7 linked regions of the Sus scrofa genome follow. The protein of the gene in region 1 purifies or fractionates together with the protein of each later gene. This does not show direct contact. Links are inferred from orthologs where the notes say so. Each region holds a gene or a part of one and is shown in the gene's direction. Other genes may lie near its edges.

What was found.
Region 2: the proteins of BACH1 (region 1) and FAM83D purify together in Homo sapiens (co-immunoprecipitation; 3 studies listed by BioGRID and IntAct, counting the BioPlex papers as one, with this or other methods). This does not show direct contact. The link is inferred for Sus scrofa from reciprocal best matches to the Homo sapiens genes BACH1 and FAM83D.
Region 3: the proteins of BACH1 (region 1) and MAFK purify together in Homo sapiens (affinity purification with mass spectrometry; 6 studies listed by BioGRID and IntAct, counting the BioPlex papers as one, with this or other methods). This does not show direct contact. The link is inferred for Sus scrofa from reciprocal best matches to the Homo sapiens genes BACH1 and MAFK.
Region 4: the proteins of BACH1 (region 1) and XPO1 purify together in Homo sapiens (affinity purification with western blotting; 3 studies listed by BioGRID, with this or other methods). This does not show direct contact. The link is inferred for Sus scrofa from reciprocal best matches to the Homo sapiens genes BACH1 and XPO1.
Region 5: the proteins of BACH1 (region 1) and HMMR purify together in Homo sapiens (affinity purification with mass spectrometry; 6 studies listed by BioGRID and IntAct, counting the BioPlex papers as one, with this or other methods). This does not show direct contact. The link is inferred for Sus scrofa from reciprocal best matches to the Homo sapiens genes BACH1 and HMMR.
Region 6: the proteins of BACH1 (region 1) and MAFF purify together in Homo sapiens (affinity purification with mass spectrometry; 3 studies listed by BioGRID and IntAct, counting the BioPlex papers as one, with this or other methods). This does not show direct contact. The link is inferred for Sus scrofa from reciprocal best matches to the Homo sapiens genes BACH1 and MAFF.
Region 7: the proteins of BACH1 (region 1) and MAFG purify together in Homo sapiens (affinity purification with mass spectrometry; 5 studies listed by BioGRID and IntAct, counting the BioPlex papers as one, with this or other methods). This does not show direct contact. The link is inferred for Sus scrofa from reciprocal best matches to the Homo sapiens genes BACH1 and MAFG.

What each region holds. Positions count from the first base shown.
Region 1 is NC_010455.5:192,680,289-192,683,788, forward strand, and holds part of BACH1 (transcription regulator protein BACH1), read left to right. Parts: coding exon 1-40; intron 41-1,803; coding exon 1,804-3,147; intron 3,148-3,500. UniProt on the Homo sapiens protein: Transcriptional regulator that acts as a repressor or activator, depending on the context. Binds to NF-E2 DNA binding sites. Plays important roles in coordinating transcription activation and repression by MAFK.
Region 2 is NC_010459.5:41,889,352-41,892,722, forward strand, and holds the end of FAM83D (protein FAM83D), read left to right. Parts: intron 1-880; coding exon 881-1,862; 3' UTR 1,863-2,871; downstream 2,872-3,371.
Region 3 is NC_010445.4:1,029,866-1,033,365, forward strand, and holds part of MAFK (transcription factor MafK), read left to right. Parts: exon of another isoform or gene 1-804; intron 805-1,051; exon of another isoform or gene 1,052-1,070; intron 1,071-1,474; 5' UTR 1,475-1,518; coding exon 1,519-1,554; intron 1,555-2,370; coding exon 2,371-2,805; 3' UTR 2,806-3,500. UniProt on the Homo sapiens protein: Since they lack a putative transactivation domain, the small Mafs behave as transcriptional repressors when they dimerize among themselves.
Region 4 is NC_010445.4:80,282,516-80,286,015, forward strand, and holds part of XPO1 (exportin-1), read left to right. Parts: intron 1-650; coding exon 651-832; intron 833-1,970; coding exon 1,971-2,019; intron 2,020-2,096; coding exon 2,097-2,216; intron 2,217-3,500. UniProt on the Homo sapiens protein: Mediates the nuclear export of cellular proteins (cargos) bearing a leucine-rich nuclear export signal (NES) and of RNAs.
Region 5 is NC_010458.4:60,329,225-60,333,458, reverse strand, and holds the start of HMMR (hyaluronan mediated motility receptor), read left to right. Parts: upstream 1-1,434; 5' UTR 1,435-1,614; coding exon 1,615-1,660; intron 1,661-4,234. Other genes in the region: NUDCD2 (nudC domain-containing protein 2), read right to left, coding at 758-946. UniProt on the Homo sapiens protein: Receptor for hyaluronic acid (HA). Involved in cell motility. When hyaluronan binds to HMMR, the phosphorylation of a number of proteins, including PTK2/FAK1 occurs.
Region 6 is NC_010447.5:9,683,151-9,685,403, reverse strand, and holds the end of MAFF (transcription factor MafF), read left to right. Parts: coding exon 1-358; 3' UTR 359-1,753; downstream 1,754-2,253. UniProt on the Homo sapiens protein: Since they lack a putative transactivation domain, the small Mafs behave as transcriptional repressors when they dimerize among themselves.
Region 7 is NC_010454.4:1,072,074-1,075,327, forward strand, and holds part of MAFG (transcription factor MafG), read left to right. Parts: exon of another isoform or gene 1-33; intron 34-49; exon of another isoform or gene 50-931; intron 932-1,043; 5' UTR 1,044-1,071; coding exon 1,072-1,107; intron 1,108-1,202; coding exon 1,203-1,655; 3' UTR 1,656-3,254. UniProt on the Homo sapiens protein: Since they lack a putative transactivation domain, the small Mafs behave as transcriptional repressors when they dimerize among themselves.

The sequences.
Region 1 (3,500 bases):
CCAGGCCGACGCTGAGCTGCGCATCACTCTGCCTGAGGAGGTGGGAGAGGTCACCCTGATTTTAACCGAATGTCATTAATTCTGTCATGGTTTATAAAGTTAAAATAGGCCAAGGAGCCCTTCCTTGGCTTCTGCAACAGTGCATTTCCTTAGCTTTTTTGTTTTCTTGGAAATGATGACATTTTCCATGTAAAATGATTAACTTTGGGTGCTAGTTAGTATTTATTGAGCAGTTGAATAATTTGACCCCTGTTACATTATTTTTGATGAAATGACGCAGCGGGTGGATTACAGACATTTGGTGAGGTCATGTTGGGTGGGAGGGACCACACTGCAGGCCATACTCTTCCTTTTTTCCTGTGATGAGGAGCTGTGATGGGGATTAGGGGTCTCCACAGCCTCCATTCCTCTCAGACATGCCCTCGTGGACATGGGCTGGGAGTGAATTGGTGGCTCCCTGGGATGCTCAGTGTTAATTGTTTTAACTATGAGCCAGAGTTGCCAGATTTTTCAGCTTTTCAAGTAGCTCTTAGCAAAGCATTTTAGAATTTGGAGGGAACCCAAAAGATTATGCATTCCAGCCTCCTCATTTTGTCTACGTGTGGGTGTTAAGGTACTCCAGAACTGTTCTTTTTTCTCTCCCTCTCTTCTTTCTTGAGATTGTGGCTTATGCATTATTAGAAAAAGGGTGCTATTATGTCATCTTTATAGAGCCTTGTTCTCACACACCTTTTGCCCACCAGCCTGTTGTGGAGCTTACTCATCTGGACATTTAAGTCTTTGTTACCATCCTGCCTCTAGGAGACCTCTCTCTAGGGCTGGAGCTGGGTGCAGGGACTCTTCCAGCAGCTTGCTTGATTGCGTTAGTATCTACAGCTGGAAGAGTGCTGAGCTTTAGGCATTGGGACACACATCAGAAGCTGTTAAAAGGAATTTGGACAAAGCATGTGTGTAACAGCTCTGTGCAGGCTGCTCTTTGATGACAGTGTATCTTGATCATTCTTAGAAGAATTCAGTGTTTTAAAACTAATTTTGTGTCTTAAGCCCAGAATGAGACTTTCCTTGTGTTGCCATGGGCTTCAGTTGCCCCTCATTTTGCAGAGGCAGTGTAAATGCACAAGTTCCTACTTAAAGATGTTACTACCTAGAGTCCATGAATCTTTTCTGAAACAATACTTGGCATAATTTTTTAGATCTTCTCTTAGCTCACTTTTTAAAACTGAAATTAAAAAATTTTATTAGATTTTTGTCATGAGATAAAAGATAAAGATAATAGTTACCATTTACTGTGCATTCCCCATGGGTCAGGACTTTAGATACTTTGTTTTCCATTGTTACAAATTTCACATTTGTAGTTTATAGCAGTTGGGGAGTTGGTGGAATGTAGGGACCACATGGAGATGGGATGGCAGCAGACACCTGGCACTTGACTCTGTGTTGCAACTTGTGTCCATGCTGCTTTCTTCCATAGATGATTTCTTTCAGCTAATGTGGACAGTTGTGGCGGTGTTTATGTCTTACCTCCTATCAGTAAACTGAACTCCATGGGTCATTGAGAGTGAAATCTATAAAGTGGAGGGTGTGATTGTAATGAATAGGATGTGCGAACTATGCTTTCCCAGACTCCCTTTGCTTTACATTTCCTGGAAGAATGTTTTTTCTTACCAAATTAAAATACCCATTAAAATAAGCCGTTATGGAGAGGTTACCCATCTTGCCATTCATTCCCTTCCTACTTCTCTTGTACTTATCTACTAGACAGCTTTCATGTGATGCATTTGTTTTTATTTTGTATATTAACAGGTGACAGTTAAAGGATTCGAACCTTTAATTCAGTTTGCCTACACCGCTAAACTGATTTTAAGTAAGGACAATGTGGACGAAGTATGCAAATGTGTGGAATTTTTAGGTGTATCTGATATTGAGGAATCCTGCTTTCAGTTTCTCAAATACAAGTTTTTGGACTCTGCTGCAGACCAGCAAGAATGCCCAAGAAAAAAATGTTTCTCATCATCCTGTCAGAAACCAGATTTTAAATTTTCACTTTTGGACCAGAAGGATTTAGAAATTGATGAAGTGGAGGAATTTTTGGAACACAAAAATGTGCGGACTCCTCACTGTAAACTCCGCCGGTATCAGGGGAGTGCACAAGTACTGCCTCCTCTGCAAGACAGTGCCAGTCAAACATGTGAATCCATGTGCTTAGAAAAGGATGCTGCTCTGTCTCTGCCGTCTTTATGCCCCAAATACCGGAAGTTCCAGAAAGCGTTTGGAACTGACAGAGTCCGTGCTGTGGAGTCCAGTGTCAAAGACATTCACACTTCTTCTGTTCAGCCAAACGAGCCCTCCGAACGTGAGTGTTCAGGAGGTGTCCAGGACTGTGCAGATTTGCAGGTGATTTTAAAATGTGAAGAAAGAAAATTAGCAATGGAACATGAAGAAGCCAAGAAGAAAGATCCTGCCTCTCAGTGCCCATCAGAAAAAACAGGAGCAACTCCTTTCCCCCCCAGTTCTACAGACCCCCATGGGCTCTATTCTCTGTCTCTTTTACACACGTATGACCAATATGGTGACTTGAATTTTGCTGGTATGCAGAACACAGCAGTGTTAACAGAGAAGCCGTTGTCGGGTTCAGATGTTCAAGAAGAAAAAACTTTTGGTGAGAGTCAAGATTTACGTTTGAAATCTGACTCTGGCTCCAGGGAAGATAGTAGCCTTGCCTCAAGTGATCTGAGTAGTGTAGAGCGAGAAGTGGCAGAACACCTAGCGAAAGGCTTCTGGACTGACATTTGCAGCACGGACTCTCCATGCCAAATGCAATTATCACCTGCCATGGCCAAAGATGGCTCAGAACAGATCTACTCCCAGAAACGGTCTGAGTGTCCCTGGCTAGGTATCAGGATTAGCGAGAGCCCGGAACCGGGTCAGAGGACTTTTACAACGCTGAGTTCTGTCAATTGCCCTTTTATAAGTACTCTGAGTACTGAAGGCTCTTCGAGCAATTTGGAAATCGGAAATGATGATTATGTTTCAGAGCCCCAGCAGGAGCCTTGTCCCTATGCGTGTGTGATTAGCTTGGGAGACGACTCTGAAACAGATACTGAAGGAGACAGTGAACCCTGTTCAGCCAGAGAACAAGAATGTGAGGTGAGCAGAAAATAAGTGAGTTGTTAAGTCATTGTTTTACCACCATTCATTGGGATTAATGTGTCAGCACCTGTTGCACTGCTAGGGACCTGAGCCGACTCAGGCAGGGAGGGGAGACATCCATGTACAGTAGTTTAAAAAAACAGGATAAATACCAGGAGTGCGGGAAGAAGTATGAAAGACTTCTGTCTTCATATATTTCAAATAGGTGTATTTATTATGTTAACGAGGGAGTAGATTCATACATTGGCTGTTTAACTGTTCAAATTAAATGCCATGTCCCAAGAGGGAAAAGAGTAATAACTCTGTAATCATTATGTGATAACTTCTAGTTAAATACAGCACATATTTAG
Region 2 (3,371 bases), on another chromosome or scaffold:
CCTGCATCCTAGGGGATAGGATTCTCTGGCCAGCCTGGGTCACCTGCCCACCACCACTGTGATTGGAGAGGGGGCAGAAAGGAAAGCTTTCTGTGCAGGGGTGGTGGGGTTAGAATGACAGTCCTGTCCCCCTTTGTGAAAATGGCAGCATAGCGGAAGAGAGCAAGGAGCTCTGCCTTTGTGGTTCTTAGGGACAGCGGCCTAGTCTAGGCCCTGTCACTGCTTCCAACTGTGATGTCACTAGGCAGCTTCCTCACTTCTCACATAGGGCACTGGCCTAAATGCTTTAGGAGTCCTTTCCAGTTTTTAACAACTGGAATTGTGAATTTTAGCCTGGTAAACAGTGGCCTTTTTTAAAAAACGTTCTTAATTTTTGGCCAGACCCATGGCATTAAGTTCCCAGGTCAGGGATCAGACCTACGCTACAGCAGTGACAATGCCAGATCCTTAACCCACTGAGCCACCGGGGAACTCCAACAGGGGCCTTTTCGTTTTGCTTTTTAGGGCTGCACCTGCAGCATGTGGAGGTTCCCAGGCTAGGGGTCTAATCAGAGCTGCAGCTGCCGGCCTACGCCAGAGCCACAGCAACGCCAGATCCCTAACCCACTGAGTGAGGCCAGGGATTGAACTCGCAACCTTATGCTTCCTTGTCGGATTCATTTCCGCTGTGCCACAACGGGAACTCCAGCCTTTTTATTTTATGTTAACACGTACCTATGTTATATTCTGTGTCTGGACTAGTTGAATACACACTAAATGATAGGTGTGCTGTCACCAGAGTTGCGACTGGGTTGTCCAGGCTTTGTATTCAGGTTGACAAGAAGTAAACAAAGATTCCTCATCCTTACCAGCTTCTGTTTGTTTGTTTTTATTCCTTAAGTTTCACCTGGACAGATGGCAAATTAAACAGCAGCAACTTGGTCATTCTGTCTGGCCAAGTGGTCGAACACTTTGACCTGGAGTTCCGGATCCTGTACGCACAGTCAGAGCCCATCAGCGCCAAACTCCTGTCCAACTTCCAGATCAGTGGCAAGTTTGACCACCTCATTGACCAGAAAACACCGTCCAAGGAGCTCACGCTGGGCAACCTGCTGCGGCTGCGGCTGGCCAGGCTCTCGAGCACCCCCAGGAAGGCCGAGCCGGGGTGCAAGGAGGACCGGGCAGAGGCCAGGCGCGGGGACGCCGAGTCCTCCACCATCAGTGAGGACGACTACTTCAGCAGCCACAGGGACAGGCCAGACAGCAGGAGGGCGACCGATGCCGCCACGCAGACGGAGCCAGGCGAGGGGACGCCAGCAGTGAGCACGAGTGACACGGGCACCCAAGCCAGCGCAGCCACAGCTTGTGCTGGCACCCAGACCACGGTTGGCACCAGGGTGGCGAGCTCCCAAACTGCGGTCCGGTCCACGTCGGCCACGACCCAGACCGACACGGAGGAGGGTGGCCTCTTCTCGCAGGGAGTCCCGTCCAAAGAAGGGTCGCCGGTGTCGAAGATGTCTGTGTCGGGGTCCTCCAGCTCGCGGTCTTCCTCCTCCTCTCTGTCGTCCCAAGGCTCCGTGGGCAGCTCCGGCAGCCCCCCGGCTTCCCTCAGAGCCACGGACCTCGTCACGCCGGGACACCCCAAGTACTGGAGCACCCCCCACTTGGATCTGTGCTTCAGAGACTCGTTCAGAAACTTAAACAAAGAGCGGCAGTTCCACTTGGCTGGGATCAGGTCCCGACTCAACCACATGCTGGCCATGCTTTCAAGGAGAACCTTCCTCACGGAAAACTACCTCAGTTTTAATTCTGGGACTTTCATCCGAGCCTCCGCTAACCTGGTGGCCGTGAGAGATATCACACTTTATCCCTCCCATCAGTGACGGCCCTGTGCCTTCGGAGCTGCCGCCGTCACCCAGGCTCGCCCTGGACACTGTCAGAGCAAGGATGCTTAGCGGCATCTCTCCTGTCCTAATTGCCTTTCTTTTACCCTGATTTTCTTTGAATGCTCTTAGTTTATGTGCTTTATCTTTATTTTGTTCTTAGCATGCATAAGCCAGGTACTGGTTTTGTGGGTGAAACACTATGGATACAGGTTTTTTTGTTTGTTTGCTTGCTTTTTTTCTTTTTTTTGCCATGCCTGCAGCAAGTGGAAGTTCCTGGGCCAGGGACTGAACCCATGCCACAGCAGCCACCCAAAAGATGGCAGTGACAATGCTGGATCATTAACCACTAGGCCACCAGGGCACACCCATCCCGATTTTCTTTGAATTCTATGAACTGCACGTTATTTTATGTGCTTTATTTTTATTTTATCATGTGTAAGCCAGGTATTGGTTTTATGGTTTAAACACTAATGGGTACCGTTTCTTTGCACAATTTGAATCTTGATATCTCTTCAAGAGAATGTTTTAGGGTTCTCAGGTAATTCAGGTAAGAGATAAAATATGCATTGCATTTTTCTAGATTTTTGTGCACTCCTGCATTAGAGGTTTGAATCATTAATTTTCATGATCAAAATCCTGTTTAGAAAAAAACCGAAAACTCTATTTCTTTATTATTATTTTTATTTTTAGGGCTGCACTTGTGGCACATGGAAGTTCCCAGGGTAGGGGTCAAATTGGAGCTATAGCTGCCAGCCTACACCACAGCCATAGCAAGGCCAGCTCCCAGCTGCATCTGTGAGCTACTCCATGGCTCACAGCAATGCCAGATCCTTAACCCCCTGAGCAAGGCCAGGATTGAACCTGCATCCTCATGGATACCAGTCAGGTTCGTGACCACTGAGCCACAATGGGAACTCCAAAACTCTGTTTCTTAATTATCTGTCTCTTCTTTAGAATATCTGTGTTCTTAGCATTTAGTTCTTAAATAAAGAACTCTTGTTTGGTGGTTGCTGTGTCCTTTATTTTTCTCTCTCTCTGCCACTTTTCTGGGTTTTTGTTGTTGTTGTTGTTTGTTTGTTTTGCTTTTTTTTAGGGCTGCACCTGAGGCATATGGAAGTTCCCAGGCTAAGGGTCGAACTGGAGCTACAACTGCCTGCCTACACCACAGCCACAGCAATGTAGGATCCAAACCATGTCTGTGACCTACACCACAGCTCAGCAACACCAGATCCTTAACCCACCTGAGTGAGGCCTGGGATCGAACCCGAGTTCCCATGGATACTAATTGGATTCATGTCCACTGAGCCACAACGGGAACTCCTGGCACTTTTCTGTTTAACTCTAAGAGTGTCACAAGTAAATGCACCTAATACCTATTTATGCAGTTTTTTTTTTTTTTTTTTTAAACAGTGTTGGGATGGAGGAGTAGAGAATCCAAATTATAAAAGATAAATATCCACTTAGAAGGTAACATAAAAAAAAGTGACACGGAGCAAGTGTCAGAGT
Region 3 (3,500 bases), on another chromosome or scaffold:
GCTGCTGTTCTGCTCTCCCTCCCCGCACCCGGAGAGCAGCCGTGTTGCCAGGGACCCCCGGGAGTCCCCTGGCCTGGGTGCTGAGCCCCTCTGGTGGTGAAGGGTGGGCAGCTGTCGGAGGCAGGGCCGGTGGTGGCGGGCCCGGACAGTGCTCCGTCGAGTCCTGGGGCTGCAGGCCGAGGTACCCACCCAGGGCCCCGTCCCCCCAGTGTGGAGGCCTTGGTGCACCTCGTCTTGGCCCTGAGACGCTCCTCGGGTGTCTCTCTGACCCTGTCTCTGCTCAGTTCACCTTGCCTGGCATTTGGATCTTGTCTGGGCTTGGGGGAGGGCAGCCCCCAGTCCTTGAAGCCGGTGACATAGTGTCCCCGTGAGTCAGGGGCCAGGAATCCCACGCCCCTTCCCCAGCCGCCCGCACGAGGGGCCTGCTCACTGCCTCGCAAACCTGCACAGCCCGCCCGAAGCCATTGTTGCTGTGGGCTTCTCTGTTTCCATGACGACCATCAGGGGTTGGCTACTTCCCAAGGTCGCCATGGCAACTATCAGAGGGGAATCATGCTTGGGATGCTTTGGCTGGCTTTTTCATGAATGATTAGAATGTGTGACACAATGCAGACGCGAGAATGAGAAGGGCGGGCTGCAGGGACAACTCCCGCCAGACGGTCGGTGAGCTCTGGAGGTGGTGGCCCCCACCTCCCCCGTCCGGGCTGGCGTGGGAGCCCCCACCCACCTCTGGGCCTCAGGTCATGGCTGTGGGGCAGCCGAGGTGGAGGCGGTGATGTCACAGCTGCAGTGCCCTTGGCAGAGGTAGGTCTGCCGGGGAGGGTGAGGCCTGGGCCCCGTGGGCTCGGGGCTCCCCCTCCCTGCCCATCGTTGGGTTGAGCTCAGCAAGGCAGGAGCTCCCCAGAAGGCACCTTCGTGTCGGGGGCCAGGCGGGCCCAGAGTGACGGGTCCTGCTTGGGCACTGCTGTCCCTGGGTCCAGCGGTGATTGTCAGGGGCTGGGTGTGGCCTGTCCAGAGGGGGTTTTGCTGCTGAGCCGTGTCCCCTGAACGTGGCTTCCAGTGCCTCCCAGGTGCGAGCGTCTGAGCTCAGGGCCAAGGTCAGAACAGGAAGTGGCAGTGCTCCTGCCCAGAGCTGCCCCAGGCACAGGTGCTCCTGGCCAGGCCCTGCAGGCAGGGGGAGGCGGGGTGCGGGACGGCCCTGCGGCTGCCGGGCACCAGACAGAGGGCATCCAGGCTCCTCTGCGGGCGGGGCTGGAGCCTGAGGTGTGGCCCGTGCCCTCCCGGGCCCCTTGAGAGGCTCAGGCCCAGCCAGGATGCCCTGATTTCAGGGGCTATGCCTGGACGGCACAGGTGGGGGTGGCGCCGCCTGGGAGCATCCCCCGGGGGTCCCTGCTTTGGGTCACTTGCGACCGCAGCTTGCCCTGTGCCCGGCCAGGAACTAACCACGCTCGTTCTGTGCTCTGTGATTTTCTAGTTACCATTTCCACACGGTTCTGTCCGGGTGACGGTGCCCAGGTTATGACGACTAATCCCAAACCGAACAAGGCATTGAAGGTAAGGGGTGGGGTGGGCAGACCCTGCGCCCAGGCCTGGCAAAGGTCCCTTCGGCCCCAGACGCCCCGTCCCGATGCCGCCCTTAGAGCGCGGGGAAGGAGGCCTGTCCCAAGGGTGGGAGGAGCTGTTGCCTGGAGGGAGGGAGGATCTTTGGGAAAAGTGGCGACCGAGTTTGGGGGCTCTGACGTCCAGGGGCTGGAGGGGTGGGGGCCGGCTGGCCAGAGAACATTTGAGCCCCCGGCACCGGGGTTTGGGTCACGTGGCCTCTGCTCCCACAGAGCCCCTGAGGGGTGCAGTGAGCAGGGTGCTCTGGCCCCCGGGGTCCGGCTCCCTGCGCCTCCACGTCGGGGGCTGGCGTGTGTCCTCGGACTGGCCGTCTCTCGTCTCGGAGCAGAGCTGGGCCTGGCCCGAGGTGGGCTCTTGGAGCATATGCGGGCCAAGCCTCTCATAGCCTCTCGTGAGGTCCTGCGGTCCGTGGAGCCCAGCCCACTGGCCTTGGCTGGGTCCTGGAGTCTGAGGGGTGCAGAGAGATGGGCGGCCGTCCGCCCCATGGCAGCCTTGCACCGGGCACCAGAGGGTCACAGGCAGCCCCGCTGGGCCGAGGCCTCGCAGGTTTGGGCGGCCAGCGGTCACCGGTCGTGGCCGACATAGCCAGAGGCCCCCCCGCCAGCGAACACCCCTGCACCGCCCCGAGTGCACGAGGTCGGCTGACCCCACTGGAGCAGGACGGGCCGGCCTGGGACGCGGAGGGGAGCAGACCTGGGCCTCGCGGTGCGCGCCGGGGTCCCCGCCTGAGCCTGTGCTGTGGCCCCGCAGGTCAAGAAGGAGGTGGGCGAGAACGCCCCGGTGCTCAGCGACGATGAGCTGGTGTCCATGTCGGTGCGGGAGCTGAACCAGCACCTGCGCGGCCTGTCCAAGGAGGAGGTGGTCCGCCTGAAGCAGCGCCGCCGCACGCTCAAGAACCGCGGCTACGCGGCCAGCTGCCGCATCAAGCGCGTGACGCAGAAGGAGGAGCTGGAGCGGCAGCGGGTGGAGCTGCAGCAGGAGGTGGAGAAGCTGGCCCGCGAGAACAGCAGCATGAAGCTGGAGCTGGACGCCCTGCGCTCCAAGTACGAGGCCCTGCAGACCTTTGCCCGCACGGTGGCCCGCGGCCCCATCACGCCCACCAAGGTGGCCACCACCAGCGTCATCACCATCGTCAAGTCCGCCGAGATCTCCTCCACCTCCGTGCCCTTCTCCGCCGCCTCCTAGTGCCCGGCCTGGGGGGGCGCGGGCGGGCGGGCGGGGCGCGTCCCTCGAGCTGGTCGGAGGTCCAGACCCCTCAGTACCGCGTCCGGTCCAGGAGGCCCGCGGGGCCCTGGCTGTGGCTGGGAAAGAGCCGGTTCCCGAGGGCCCGTGTGCCGCACGCCTTCTCACGCGCACGCCCGCCCGCACCCGCACCCGGCCTTCCTGGGCCCTGCCGGTGCTCTGCAGACATTTCTGGGGCATTTCTGGGGCTTCTGTCTTGCGCTGGAGGAGTTGGGATGTGTGGAGGGAAGGTCCTCAGACGGTTCCAGGCCCCCGCGTCTTCCACCCCCACCCTGAGCAGCCTGTCCACGCCCCGCAGCGCTTCGGGCCCCCTTGCGGCGCCCCCGCCAGGGCAGCACCCCGTCCCCGCCCCGACGGCTCCGCGGTGCCCTGGGAGGAGCCGAGCACCGTGGGGTCCCGATGCACCGGGAGCTTGCTTCAGCCTCAGCCCCAGGCCGGTGCCCCGAGAAGCTGGCGGGGGAAGGGCGGCGTGCGTGTGCAGGCGTGTGCGTGTCTGTACACGCGTGTGCCTGTCCTCCCACCAGGGCACTAGCGGCTCAGGGGGCTTCGGGAAGCAGCTCCTTGTGGGCGGTCACCTGGTCCCGTGGCAAATGCGGGCAGGGTCGTGCGAGCCTTGGGTTCCTCCTCCGCAGCAGGGG
Region 4 (3,500 bases), on another chromosome or scaffold:
GTAAAATAAGTTATAGGAACATTGGGTTTTCCCCAACACTTGGATTTTTACTAAGTTACTAAGTTCTGCTGGCTTTTATACTGAGGACTTTTTGTTGTAAACCTGTCGTACTGGGAAAAGAAAGAGTACGAAGAGGTTAATTTGCTTACCTCTTAGTAACAGGTACTATTATAGAATATCTGGATTGGAAATCCCTAGTTTACAAAATAAGCAGTACAGACCTTAAAATCTATTAAGCCTTTGGTCAAAGATGATTCTGTCCCCATTGGGAATGCTGCTTTTCTTCAGAGTTTATATATCCAAACCCTACTATATTTCCCTGCCCATCACCTTTTTTATCACATAGAGTTTGATCTTTGAGTCTCCTAGGATAATTTGCACATGTCTGACAGATATACATTAGAGCCAGATTAGAGCAGTCAGGATAATTGAGAGGAGGAATGGGGCTTTTGAGACAAAGAACTTTATCAGTGTTGTACTTTCTACTCAGTGTATTATATGGAGAGTAGCACATTTCCTGTCTTACTGTAGGAGAGGGGAGAAAATCAAAGATGGTTGGTATTTGCTCCAGCTTCTGGTATCACAGTGTCTATGAAGTTTGTCTTATTTGCCATTGAAAAATGAAATTAACTTTTCCTATCTTATTTTAGATATTGAAACAAGAATGGCCAAAACACTGGCCAACTTTTATCAGTGACATTGTTGGAGCAAGTAGGACCAGTGAAAGTCTCTGTCAGAATAATATGGTGATTCTGAAACTCTTGAGTGAAGAAGTATTTGATTTCTCTAGTGGACAGATAACCCAAGTGAAAGCTAAGCATTTAAAAGACAGGCAAGTACTTGTTTTAGAATTTTAAAGTAATTTTTCTAACAATTCCAAGGCATTCGGATGTAGATTAAAAATTTTTATGAAACTATGATTGTTGAAAACTAGCACATTTCTAGTTCTTCTTGAGTAATAATTTAAATAGTGGTAAAGTGAGGAAGTTCCTGTCTCGGCTCAGCAGAAACGAATCTGACTAGTATCTATGAGGAGGACACAGGTTCAATCCCTGGCCTCACTCGAGTTGGGTTTCTGGCATTGCCAGGAGCTGTGGTGTAGGTTGCAGGCATGGCTTGAATCTGGAGCTGCTATGGCTGTGGTGTAGGCAGGCAGCTACAGCTCCAATTCGACCCCTAGCCTGGGAACCTCCATATGCGGTGAGTATGGCCCTAAAGAGACAGAAAAAAAAAGAAAAAAAAAAAAGGTAAAGGAGTGGTCTAATACTCTAAATATGAAGGCCTAAAAAGTATATGTGGTATTACAGCAAATTAGCATTATACATGTCACGTGGAAGGGGTATAGTATAGGGTAAGACTTCCCAAGAACCTTTTCGTAATCTGTTTTATAAGGTGTCTAGTTAATTAAGGTCCAAGGAATTTACGTGTGTCCAAATGTCTAGTGAATCTTTCTGTTCTGCATTTTGTCACTTCCCCAATAGTTAACGCTAGGAACATGTCAAATTTTATTTTCTTCAACATAGTAATAAAATGTGTTTAGTCATTAAGGAACAGAAGTATTATCTTTATGTATTGAAACTAGCTTCAGAATTTAGAATTTTTTCCTTTGATTTGATGTATAGATACATTTTAGGATTGGGGTATATCTATCTAACACCACTCCTTATTTCGGAGAATTTTCTGTCTCCTATCTTGATTTAAAAGACTGAATTGATTGAAATTACTCAGATGGAATAAGGATGACAAAAAAAACCCATACCTAAAAAAAAAAAAAAAAAAAAAAAAAACCCACAAAATTAATGCTCTTTAGGTGAGTCTTAAGAGTGATATTACAAACATAGTTTTAATAACTTTGTAAATAGAAGTAATTAAATTTTTTAATGTCCAGGCTGCCAATTATGTTAGTATGTAAGTAATCACAGTATTTTTATTTCTATGTGTCTTCTAAATGGATCACTTTTATTTTTTAGCATGTGCAATGAATTCTCACAAATTTTTCAGCTGTGTCAGTTTGTGATGGTAAGTGCTTTTAATTTCATTTTTAAAAATAATGATCATACATGAGAACATGATTTACAAGCGTATTTTTATTGTAGGAAAATTCCCAAAATGCTCCACTTGTACATGCAACTTTGGAAACATTGCTCAGATTTCTTAACTGGATTCCACTTGGATATATTTTTGAGACCAAGTTAATCAGCACATTAATTTATAAGGTATGGTGGTATATTTCAGTTACATTTTTTACTAGATAGTTGTGTGTATTTTCTTATTTTATATAGAAAAACCGTTCTACATTCCTAGCCATAATCAATGTTGTTTCTAAAATGAGGAAATTTTCTATAATTTCAGCTAGTCTTTTTTTTTTTTGGTCTTTTTTTTGTCTTTTGTTGTTGTTGCTATTTCTTGGGCCGCTCCCGCAGCATATAGAGGTTCCCAGGCTAGGGGTTGAATCGGAGCTGCAGCCACCAGCCCACGCCAGAGCCACAGCAACGCGGGATCCGAGCCACGTCTGCAACCTACACCACAGCTCACCGCAACGCCGGATCGTCAACCCACTGAGCAAGGGCAGGGACTGAACCCGCAACCTCATGGTTCCTAGTCGGATTCGTTAACCACTGCGCCACGACGGGAACTCCTAGTCATTTTTTAAAAGTGTCAAAATCTCAGGATTCTGCCACCTGTACCATGCGCACTCTCCATGTGAACAACTAATAATGAATTTAGTTTGCCTTTATTTTAGTTGATTATATATGTCACAGTGAGGTAAGCTAAGGGATATTTCTATGAAATGGAAAATGTATTTTTTTCTGATAATTTTAAAGTAGTAGTATTTAATGCTTATATGTAAAAATCTTATATAATCATTCATCCAGAGACAATCAATTACTAACCTGTTATATTTTCAGGTGTTTTCTTATCAGATATGATGAATAAATTATGTATTTAACCAAGACCTTACAAAAGCAGACTATTATAACTTAAATTTGGGGCTTTGTAACTCTCAGGGCATGATACGGTCATATTCTATTCTAATATGAATTTAATATATTGAAGCCACCATTTTATTGCTACAATTTATTTAAAATTGTTTGCTATTGTCTACAGTACTGCAGGTAAGGTCAGACATTTAGGTACTTCTCAATTCAATAAATACACCTTCTCAACAATAAAATGTAAAAACTAGTTTTTCTCACACCTTCACTAATCCTAGGTATATATATGGCTCATCTCCTAAATTCTAAACAATCATAATTTTTTAAGATTACGCAGAAAACATGATGTCCTTAAGTGTATTATAGTAGATCACTTGGGGAAAGTTTCTAAGCAACTTTGGGCTTTTCAGATACCTAAGGACACATCAAAAGAAAGCACAGTTTGCTCCTAAAGCATTTACTGTCAGTTGGGTGAATAAGGAAATTTGTGTAAAAGATACGTACCAAAACCCTTATCATCTATTTATGATTTTTTTTTGTTTAGTTTTCTGATCTTTAAATCTT
Region 5 (4,234 bases), on another chromosome or scaffold:
CTTTTTAGGGGCGTATGGAGGTTCCCGGGCTAGGTGTCAAATTCAAGCTGTAGTCGTTGGCCTACACCACAGCCAACAGAAACGCCAGATCCCAGCCATGTCTGTGATCTACACCACAGCTCAACGCAAGGCCAGATCCTTAACCCACTGAGAAAGGACAGGAATCAAACCTGCGTCCTCATGGACGCTAGTCAGATTCTTTTCTGCTGAGCTTAATTTTTCTAATTTTGGATGAGACATTACCTCCCAATCCTCATCCCGACATCTTTAGCCTCTATTTTTATCTTTACTGTCCTACAACTGCCCACATATTTATTAGTTTAGTTATGCCTCCCGCCGAGACCCTAACTTCTCTCACAGTACGGGAACATTATCTGGCTCCTTCACCGCTGTCCTCCCAACACCTAGATCAGTGCTTGGAAGATAGTACATGTACTATAATTATTTGTTCTTTCAAGGACAAGTTAAGCTGTTCTCATAGAAGACCCGCAGAGGAACAAAAGCAGCAGCTTCATCTGGCTTAAAAACAAGGCCAGAGAAAAGGGCTACTCAAATTCCCACCTCAAATGTGGCTGGCCCTGAGCCGGGGGCGGGCTCCTACCAGACCGAAAACCAGGGCAATCTCATCCCTGCTTCGGCCAGTCAAGAGGAGCCGAACGGCCCTCCAGCAGTCTTTCCACGAAAACCATGATATTTAGGGCTGGGGGATTTGAGGAGGCTGGAAAGAAACTGAGTATAAGCCCCGACCTGCCGCTACCTTGAGGATCTCGCGACCACCCACGGCCAGCGCCACATGCCGGCTCTGCAGGCCGCACTGGATATCCTGGGCGCGAGTGCCTGGCGGGACCTGAACTTCAATGAACACCTCCTCCAACGTCTGGTACCACTGGCCCCACGGCGTCCCGCACGGAACGACCCCACTGCGTTCCTCAAAAGGGGCTGACATACTCCAATCGCCTCCCGGCTGCGGTGGCACCGAGAAAACTGAGCGCAAGCGCGGAGCCTCCGCGCCCAGGCCACGCCCCGTCTCCTCCGCTCGGGTCACTGCACATGCGCAGGAGTGGACCCCCGTGTTTCCACCTGCGCTCTTTCTTTCCTCTCAATGGCCATTAGGACACTGGCAGGACCCAGGTTGAAGGAACTGAAATCCGGAAAAGTTTACATCCAAAGACCGATGGAAGAGGCTTGCAACTCGTAAAGTTAGAACGCAGGACAGTACCACCAATATGACGTCAAGAGCGACTGAAAAATTCGCTGATGTGAACTGCGATTGCGCAAATGCTGCTTGTGGCGTAGTTGAAATTGAGTAAAGCCAGTAGTGATTGGGCCAGTGTGTGGGGGAGGGGTCGAAGTAAAAAAGTACTAGTCTCCTATTGGGTGATAACCTAAACTAGCAGGCCACCTGATTGGACGCCGCGAGAGCCGAGTACGCAGGCTCTTTGGGTGTTCCCTTCCTGGATTGGTGTACCCAAGGCTTTGGTTTTCCGATTGGCCAATGTCGCCTGGGCGGGAATAATCAGGGAGATTTGAATTTGAAGACAGTAGGCCATAATAACCCTCTGGAAGTTACCGAGGAGCGCTGATACCTTCGTGTTTGTGGAGCTGGTCGTCAACATGTCCTTTCCTAAGGCGCCCCTGAAACGATTCAATGACCCTTCCGGTGCGTACGGGGAAAGGAGATGGGGGACAGGAGATACTCTCATACCTCTTGCCCCTTTTGCTTCCCTTCATCAGAGGCAAATAGCGATTTTTAAGGCTGGGACGGGACTCCTTTTATTGACTCCTTTTTTCTGAAATATAAGCCAAGTATTTACTACATACCAAGCACTATTCAGGATGATAAGGATACAGCAGTGAGCGAAGCAAAGCCCCTACCCCATAGATCTTACATTAATTGGAGAATGCAGCCAATAAACAATTAGTGCCTTCGGAAACTAAAACAGATGGAAGGGAATAGGAATGAGGAAGCGGCGGTAGCTATCTGTTGGTCAAGTCGGAGAGTCTCACTGATAAAAAAATATTTTACCGTCGCATTTTGTTTGAACTTGTGGATTTCTTATTAATATTCCATTCAAGCCTAAGAAAAGGAAAATTGGTTAAAGCAGTTTATGGGTGGCAGTAGCACAAAAACACTATAGATTAAGTAATGGGAGTTAATTTTGATAGTACAGTACCCCAGATAGCATACTGAGTTTTTACATCAATTATTTTTTTATTTTAATTCCCGCAAATACATATTATCTGTTGTTTTTATTGATAAAAAGATGGAGACTTGTTTATTATATTTGCTCAATGTTATGCAATCCAGATATCAGAACTGGGGCCCCAAACCAGCCTCCTCAAACCATGCTGTGCTCTTAACCACTGCTGTGCTTAATTAAGCACAGTAACCAGGAAGCCTTAGATGTCGTTTGTAAGGCACTTACCATTTATTGGAGGTAACTATGCAGGGATTTTGCTGAGGTCTTCTGGCTAGATCAGATTTATCTTTCCAACAGCCAGGTGAGGCAGGTACTGATATTGTCAACAATTTACAGATGAGGAAACTAAGAGTTTCTGCAGCCAAACTGAGCAGCCTGTAATAAAACTTAACATCAAAACTCATGACTCACCCATCATAATGTATACTTTTTAACAGTCACTCATTCCACCTTAATTTCTATCAGCTAACTTGCAAATGGAAATGAGGCCAAGTGAGCAAATGCATTAGCACAAGCTTTTTTTTTTTTTTAATTGAAAGGCTCAAGGACCATATACTTTCCTAGACATTCAGAGAACCTCTTCTAAGTTCTGTCAGCAGTGTGTATCTTATGAGAATTTTTTTTTTTTTTTTTGCTTGTAATAAATTAGACTGGTTTTGCCAGTTACACAAAATTTCAGGCTCACAGTTTCAGAAGTAGTAATACATCATTTATTTGAGGCTTGGTATGTGTGTGAGGCACTGTAGTGATTTCTTATAAAATTCTAGTAATCCTAACAGCTGTAATATGAGGTAAATTTTTTTTTTTATTCCTGTTTCATGAATGAAGAATCCATCTCAAATAGAAATAATTTTCCAGGGGTTTTAAAGCTAGACTGGAAAAGGGGAGAATATAATGTTCTTATCCATCATCTTCTCCCTATGACTACGGAGTACTTGGCACCAAAGCTGTTGATTGGCAGACAAAGGTGGACGTGGATTTGACCCTACTGATTACTATACAAAACCCTATTCCCATTCCCACATTCCCTGTGACTGTTTTCTTTTCCACACTTCCAGATTCAACCCTGAGCTAAATACTGAGGATACGGATATGATTAAGACTGTCCCTGGAGGTCCCATCGTGGCTCAGTGGTTAACTAATCTGACTAGGAAGATGATGAGATTGCGGGTTCAATCTCTGGCCTTATTCAGTGGGTTAAGAATCCAGCATTGCCGTGAACTATGGTATCTAGGTCTCAGACATGGCCCAGATCCCGCATTGCTGTGGCTGAGGCATAGGCCAGTGGCTACAGCTCCGATTAGACCCCTAGCCTGGGAACCTCCCTATGCCATGGGTGCTGCCCTGGAAAAAGACAAAAAGACAAAAAAAAATTCTTTTAAATAAAAATTTAAGTTAAAAAACAAAACAAAACACTGTCCCTAACTTCAGGCAGTTTTGTCTAAGGTGGGGGATGGATAAATATGTTATTATAAGCCATTACAAAACTACAGGAAATTCTATGATAGGAACAGTACACACAGGCTGCTGTGGAATGAAGGTTTCTAGCTTGATTTGGGGATTTAGAGAAAACTGCAAGAGGCAACATCTGGGCTGAGATCTGAAAGAAGAGGCAGATCTCAAGTCAGCTATGCATAAGCACTCTGAAATGCCTTTCATTTGGGATTCCAGTTACATGAGTTATACAGTATGAAGTGCTGGAACATAGAAATATAGTGACATTTGTACTTTGCATAACATGACTTTATGAATTTCCTGCTGTATTGATATTAGACAGAGATGGATTATCACTAAATTTTTATTCTAAGCCACATCTTAAGGGCTAGGCATTTTCAGTAGCTTCATTTCTTAAATCTAGTGGTTGTTACTCCGGTGAATCTCTTTAAGTAGAGTTGATTCCAAATATTTTATTTCTTATGTTCAAACCTTAATAACAAATCTGTGTTGCTTATTCTTACACAGTGTTCATCCCAAAACTCTTTGTTGTTTTGCTCAGTTACCATGCTCCTTTGACCCAACTGAAGTAAAGGTCA
Region 6 (2,253 bases), on another chromosome or scaffold:
GGTGACCCGGCTCAAACAGCGGCGCCGCACACTCAAGAACCGTGGCTACGCCGCCAGCTGCCGCGTGAAGCGTGTGTGCCAGAAGGAGGAGCTGCAGAAGCAGAAGTCGGAGCTGGAGCGCGAGGTGGACAAGCTGGCGCGCGAGAACGCCGCCATGCGCTTGGAGCTCGACGCGCTGCGCGGCAAGTGCGAGGCGCTGCAGGGCTTCGCGCGCTCGGTGGCAGCGGCCCGCGGGCCGGCCGCGCTCGTGGCGCCAGCCAGCGTCATCACCATCGTCAAATCCGCCCCGAGTCCGGGGCCGGGCCCCGCCCCCGCCGCTGGCCCCGCCCCCGGGCCCGCCCCCGCCGCCTGCTCCTAGTGCCCACTGAGCCCCGCCCCCGCGCGCCCTGCCCACGCCCACCCTCCAAAGCACGCCCTTCCGACCCCAGCTGCCTTCCCTAAGAAAGTGCCTAAGCTCATTCTCTCTCCCATTTCTCTGCAGCCATTTCTCTGCAGCCACCAGTCCTCGAAATGAACACACGTTCCCTCCCCCGAGCCTGTCTTCCTCGTGTGGTCCCTGAAACTGGGACTTGATGGCCCTGGGGAGGGGCAGCTCTGGTGAGATAGGAGGTTGGGTGAGGTCAGGGTCTGAGTGAGGTCTTTTTTGGCAGAAACTTCATCCTTCTTGGTTTGGGAGGATGGGCTACAGAGCAGATTGGAAAAGGGCCATCAGGGGGAAGAGGGCCACCCCTCATTTTGTAACTGCTCAGCTTGCGCCAGCGGCCCCTCTTCACCCTCCCAGGATACAGCCCCATCTGTGTCTTGCGGAGCTGTCCAGCTGGGACGCGGATGCTCCCACCTCTGCTTTGGTCCTGGATGCCTGGCCTTCCAAAGCGTCTTTAGAAATTGCCTAGTGAAGTCCAGTTAACAGATGGGAAGACAAGCCTCCAGTGGACATGACAATGCCCAAGGCCATACATGCTTAGTGGTTGAGCTAGAACTAAAAGCCACGGCTTCCTGCTGCTGCCCTGAGATTCCTGCCATGGTCGGCCGGGGGCAGGGCAGGGGGAGACAGTGGGCAGCATCTGAAAAAGGTGGTGCCAGGGCCTCCCTGGCTTGACAGACGGCTCTTTGTGAGGCAGGGGAAGAGAAGCAGAAGGAGAGAGAAGGTGATGCAGATGGAAGAGAGGGAAGGAGCTGGCCTGGCTCAGTCCTGGGCTCTCGCTGCAGCCAGGGAGCTGGCCAGCCGGAGAGAAAGGGGACCAAGGAGGTGATCACAGTGGCAAGTGGGGAGATGAGAAGACAGATCCAACTGCCCTGCAGCCTGGGATGGGGGTCCTTAAAAGGAAAGGGTCCCACCTGTCCTCCTGTGAGGGTCTGCTGTGGGCTGGGGGCCAACCCCTGCCATTGATTGCCATTCTCCTGGGAAGGCTGGGCCCTAGCCCCACGCCCACTATAGAGCTTCCTGTCCCTGCTGTTTATTTATTACACGAATCTAAGTTATTCTCCCCCAGCCAGAGCCCTAGCACCCACTGCCTGGGAAAAGTGGTATGCGGTCCTGTGCTGGACTTTGTGTTTTATATCTGCAAATAAATCACATTTTATCTTATATTTAGGGAAAGCCGGCTGACAAAAGCAATCAAAAACTGTTTTAAAAAAAATTGCCCGGTCCCTAGATTTTATTTATTTTTCCGACTTACAGTAAGCGAGTTATCCGCCTTCTGTATTTTGTAGACTTTCTGAATAAAGTCAAGTTCTCTTTTTCCACAGTTTAGAAGTGTATGTCCTGGTCTATGTTTTTTGGGGGGAGGGGGGTGGGGGGTGGGTCCCGAATGAGGGACCCAAGATGCTTTCAACCTCAAGCAGGACCCTCTGCTGGGTGGGAAGGCTGGCCCCAAGTTGCAGATGAAGAGACTGCCCTGTTAGCAGCTCCTGCGCCTGGGCTGTGGGCGGGGCTGGGGCTGGGAGGTGGGGGGTGGGGGAGTGGAGTGAGGGCTGCAGGGGACCATAAACCCCTCCGTCTTTCCATCAGGTTACCTGAAGGCAAGGAGCTTCCTGGGAAGGCAAGCCCCAGAGGACAATGAAATGCAGAGTTAAATGCCCTGGGCATCCCATCAGCAAATAAACAGTCCTGCCCACAGAGGAAAATTCCCCCATTTAAGAGTAATCTTTCCAGCACTTTCACATTGAGGCCTGACTTTGTACAGCCAAGGAAAACATATTTTCCTCATGTTCCAGAAGGCACAAGGAGGCAGTGGACCCCTCAGCCTCAGC
Region 7 (3,254 bases), on another chromosome or scaffold:
GGGGGCCGACTGAGCCGGGAATCCCAGCACTAGGTGGGTGAACAGGTTCTTGGCAGGGCTGCAGAAAGGGAGGCAGGGCGAGGGGGAAGGAGGGACCCTCCGGTTTTTGTTTCCTGCCCTGGAAGTGTGGCCCCCACATAGGGAGCCGAGAACCGTCGGGCCAGAGGGGGCTGTGCAGGCCCCTGGGGCCGATTGTGGGCACTTGTGAAAGACCTGGGATGGGGTGGGGCAGGGCCGCAAAAGCTTGCAACCCAAAGCCACCGGATGGTTACTCCATCAGCAGCAGAGGTGGACCGAGGGCGGAGGGCCTGGGGCAGGGCTCCTCTGGCTGGAGGCTCTGCCGCCTGGAGGGTTGGGAACTCCCACCAGTGCTGGAGCAGAGTCGGGTGGGTTGGCCAACCCCATTTGCTGCTCTTCCGTGTGAGCCCTCTGGGAGCCTCCGTCTGCCCTGCAGGGCTGTGTCCCAGGGCGGCTCAGGGGCAGCGGAGGCCGGAGGTGTAACCCTGGAGTACACACGCGCAGGGTTGCTGGCCTCGGCCCTTAGCTGCTGCTGGCCAGGCTGGCCTTCGCGGCCCCAGCAGCTGGCTGCTGCCAGGCCCCTGGGGCTGCGTTGGCTGGCGGCCTGGGGAGTGCCAGGCCGGTGAGAGAGCGCGGGAGCGATGTGCTGAGTCAGCATGACTCGCCAGGAACAGCCGTGCTCTGGGGCGCACTGGGGTTATTTTTAAAGCTCCCGGCTTCCTTCTAGGCTGGCCCCTCCCGCATCCTCCTAATCTCTCCCCTGGCCCCCTGGCCCCTTTTCTCGCCTCTGCCTCCCTGACAGCCTTCAGTTCCCCTTCCCCCTCGGACCCTCCTGGCCTCCCACCTGGTTCCTGGGGGCAGGGTGGACAGGGAGCAGCCCGAGCCAAGGCTGAAGGGTGGTTCTCGGGGCCAGGTACCCAGGGCAGGAGCAGGCAAGGGGCGAGGCTGAGGGCTGGACGGGCAGAGGCGGCCGGGGAGGGCACGGGTGGTCTCCGGGGTCCTGACCTCTGCTCCCTGTCTCGCAGAGTGCCTGCTTGCTGCGCCCCCCGGGTTATGACGACCCCCAATAAAGGAAACAAAGCCTTGAAGGTGAGCAGGGAGGTTGGGGCCGCTCTCGGGCTGGGGTGGCACCGGGCGGGCGGCCTCCATCTGGCCTGTGACCTCGCCCGCTGTGCCCTCCCCAGGTGAAGCGGGAGCCAGGCGAGAATGGCACCAGCCTGACGGACGAGGAGCTGGTGACCATGTCCGTGCGGGAGCTGAACCAGCACCTGCGGGGCCTGTCCAAGGAGGAGATCATCCAGCTGAAGCAGCGCCGGCGCACGCTCAAGAACCGCGGCTACGCCGCCAGCTGCCGCGTGAAGCGGGTGACCCAGAAGGAGGAGCTGGAGAAGCAGAAGGCGGAGCTGCAGCAGGAGGTGGAGAAGCTGGCCTCCGAGAACGCCAGCATGAAGCTGGAGCTCGACGCCCTGCGCTCCAAGTACGAGGCCCTGCAGAACTTCGCCAGGACGGTGGCCCGAAGCCCCGTGGCACCGGCGCGGGGCCCCCTTGCTGCCAGCTTGGGGCCCCTCGTCCCCGGCAAGGTGGCCGCCACCAGCGTCATCACAATAGTCAAGTCCAAGACGGACGCCCGGTCGTAGGGACGTGCTCAGCCCGGCGGGTCTGCAAGGGGCCAGTAGGCGCGTGGCAGATTCGGCAGCCCCGTCCCCTTCCTCCTCCCCCGCTCCCTCCTCTTGGCCCTCCGCCTCCTCCCTTCTCTCCTCCCTTCCCTGCAAAGCACAACCTGCAGCCCAGGGGCGCCGGGCTGAGCCCCTTTGATCTCGTCGTTGTCATCGTGTGTTTTGTACGTTGGGATTGGTCAGTTCGGCGGTGACGTGGGCGGCCCCGCCCCCTCGGTACCTCGGGCAGGTGGGCTCGGCGTCCAGAGAGGGCCTGGGGGCCTGGACGGAGCGAAAGATGGAGCCAGTGCTCTGGGGCAAGTGTGGCCCCGAGCGGGGAGGGCTTCAGGGCAGGAGGGGCTGCTCTCCATTACAGAGGGGGCCCCCGGGGGCCCCGACGGCGCGGGGCAGGCAGGGCGGGTCCCTCTCAGCCCGGCCATTGCCGGCGCTGGGGGGGCCTGGGGCGTCGTGTGGCTGCGGGCCAGGGGCCTTGGGCTCCTGCCTGAGGCGTTGCACTGAACAAGACCAAATCACTGGTTGTGAGCGTCCGTGAAGGGTGTGTCCAGTGTCCTGCAGTGGGTCCCCTGTCACTGTTTACATGACCTATTTGTGTGGTTACATAGCCCTTTATTTAAGAGAGAGAAGTTCCTTTTACGAAGTTATTAAATTATATGTTTAAAAGCTACAGAAGAAAAAAAGCTGCAGAGTATTTATAAAATTGTCTTTTTAAAAAAAAAAAAAATCAAGCCAGAACGTTTGACCATAGGCACGGAAAAGGGAAGAAAGCATAATAGAAACTTTGCTAGTTTAGAAAAAAGAGAAAAAAAATCAACAAAAAAAAGTCCCTTTCTTGTAAACTTACGGACAAGTCTTTGTGGCTGTTGGAGTTTAGTTTTTATATACACAGAGTTATCAGACGTTATTTATAAAACTTAGTTTAAAAAAAAAAAAAAAAAAGAGCCGAGCCGCGAGCGACCCGAAGGCGCGTCCTCACACGTCCTCTTTGCTGTCTCTCTTGCAATTGTACCGAAAGTGACTTACTCCTCTGCCCTTCCTGCTTCCGTCTCTGCCGGTGCCGTGGTGTCGTGCGTGCCTGGTGCGGTCTTGTGCAGCGTCACGTGCTGGTGCTTCTGGTGACCTTTGACCTGTGGGTGTCCCTTCTTGTGTCTCTTCTCCCGTGTTCGTTTTTTGGATTGGGTTGTGGTTTGGCTTCCGCTGGCTTGTCAGGCTCGGGCTGGGGTGCCGGCTTGTGCCTGCCGCACGGAGCGTGGGGTCCGGGCCCGGCCTCTTCTGCTTTGGCGCCCACCCCAAGCCCCAGGGGGGTCAGGTGCGGGGGCTCTGCCACCCCCACCCCACCCCCACCCCCCGGCTGACCCTTGGCTTCGCGTGTGTGTCTTGGGCTTGGGCTGATCCAGCGGCAGGGGAGTTGAAACTGGGGGCCGTCCGGGCCTCCCCCCTGCCCCCCGCCGCTGCTTCCTTGCTCACCGCCTCTGGCCCTGGGTGGAGGCTTTGCGGGGATCAGGGAGTCACTGTGCGTGTCGGCGGAGTCAGGGCCAAGCGTGTCTTCCTTCTGGCCTCCGT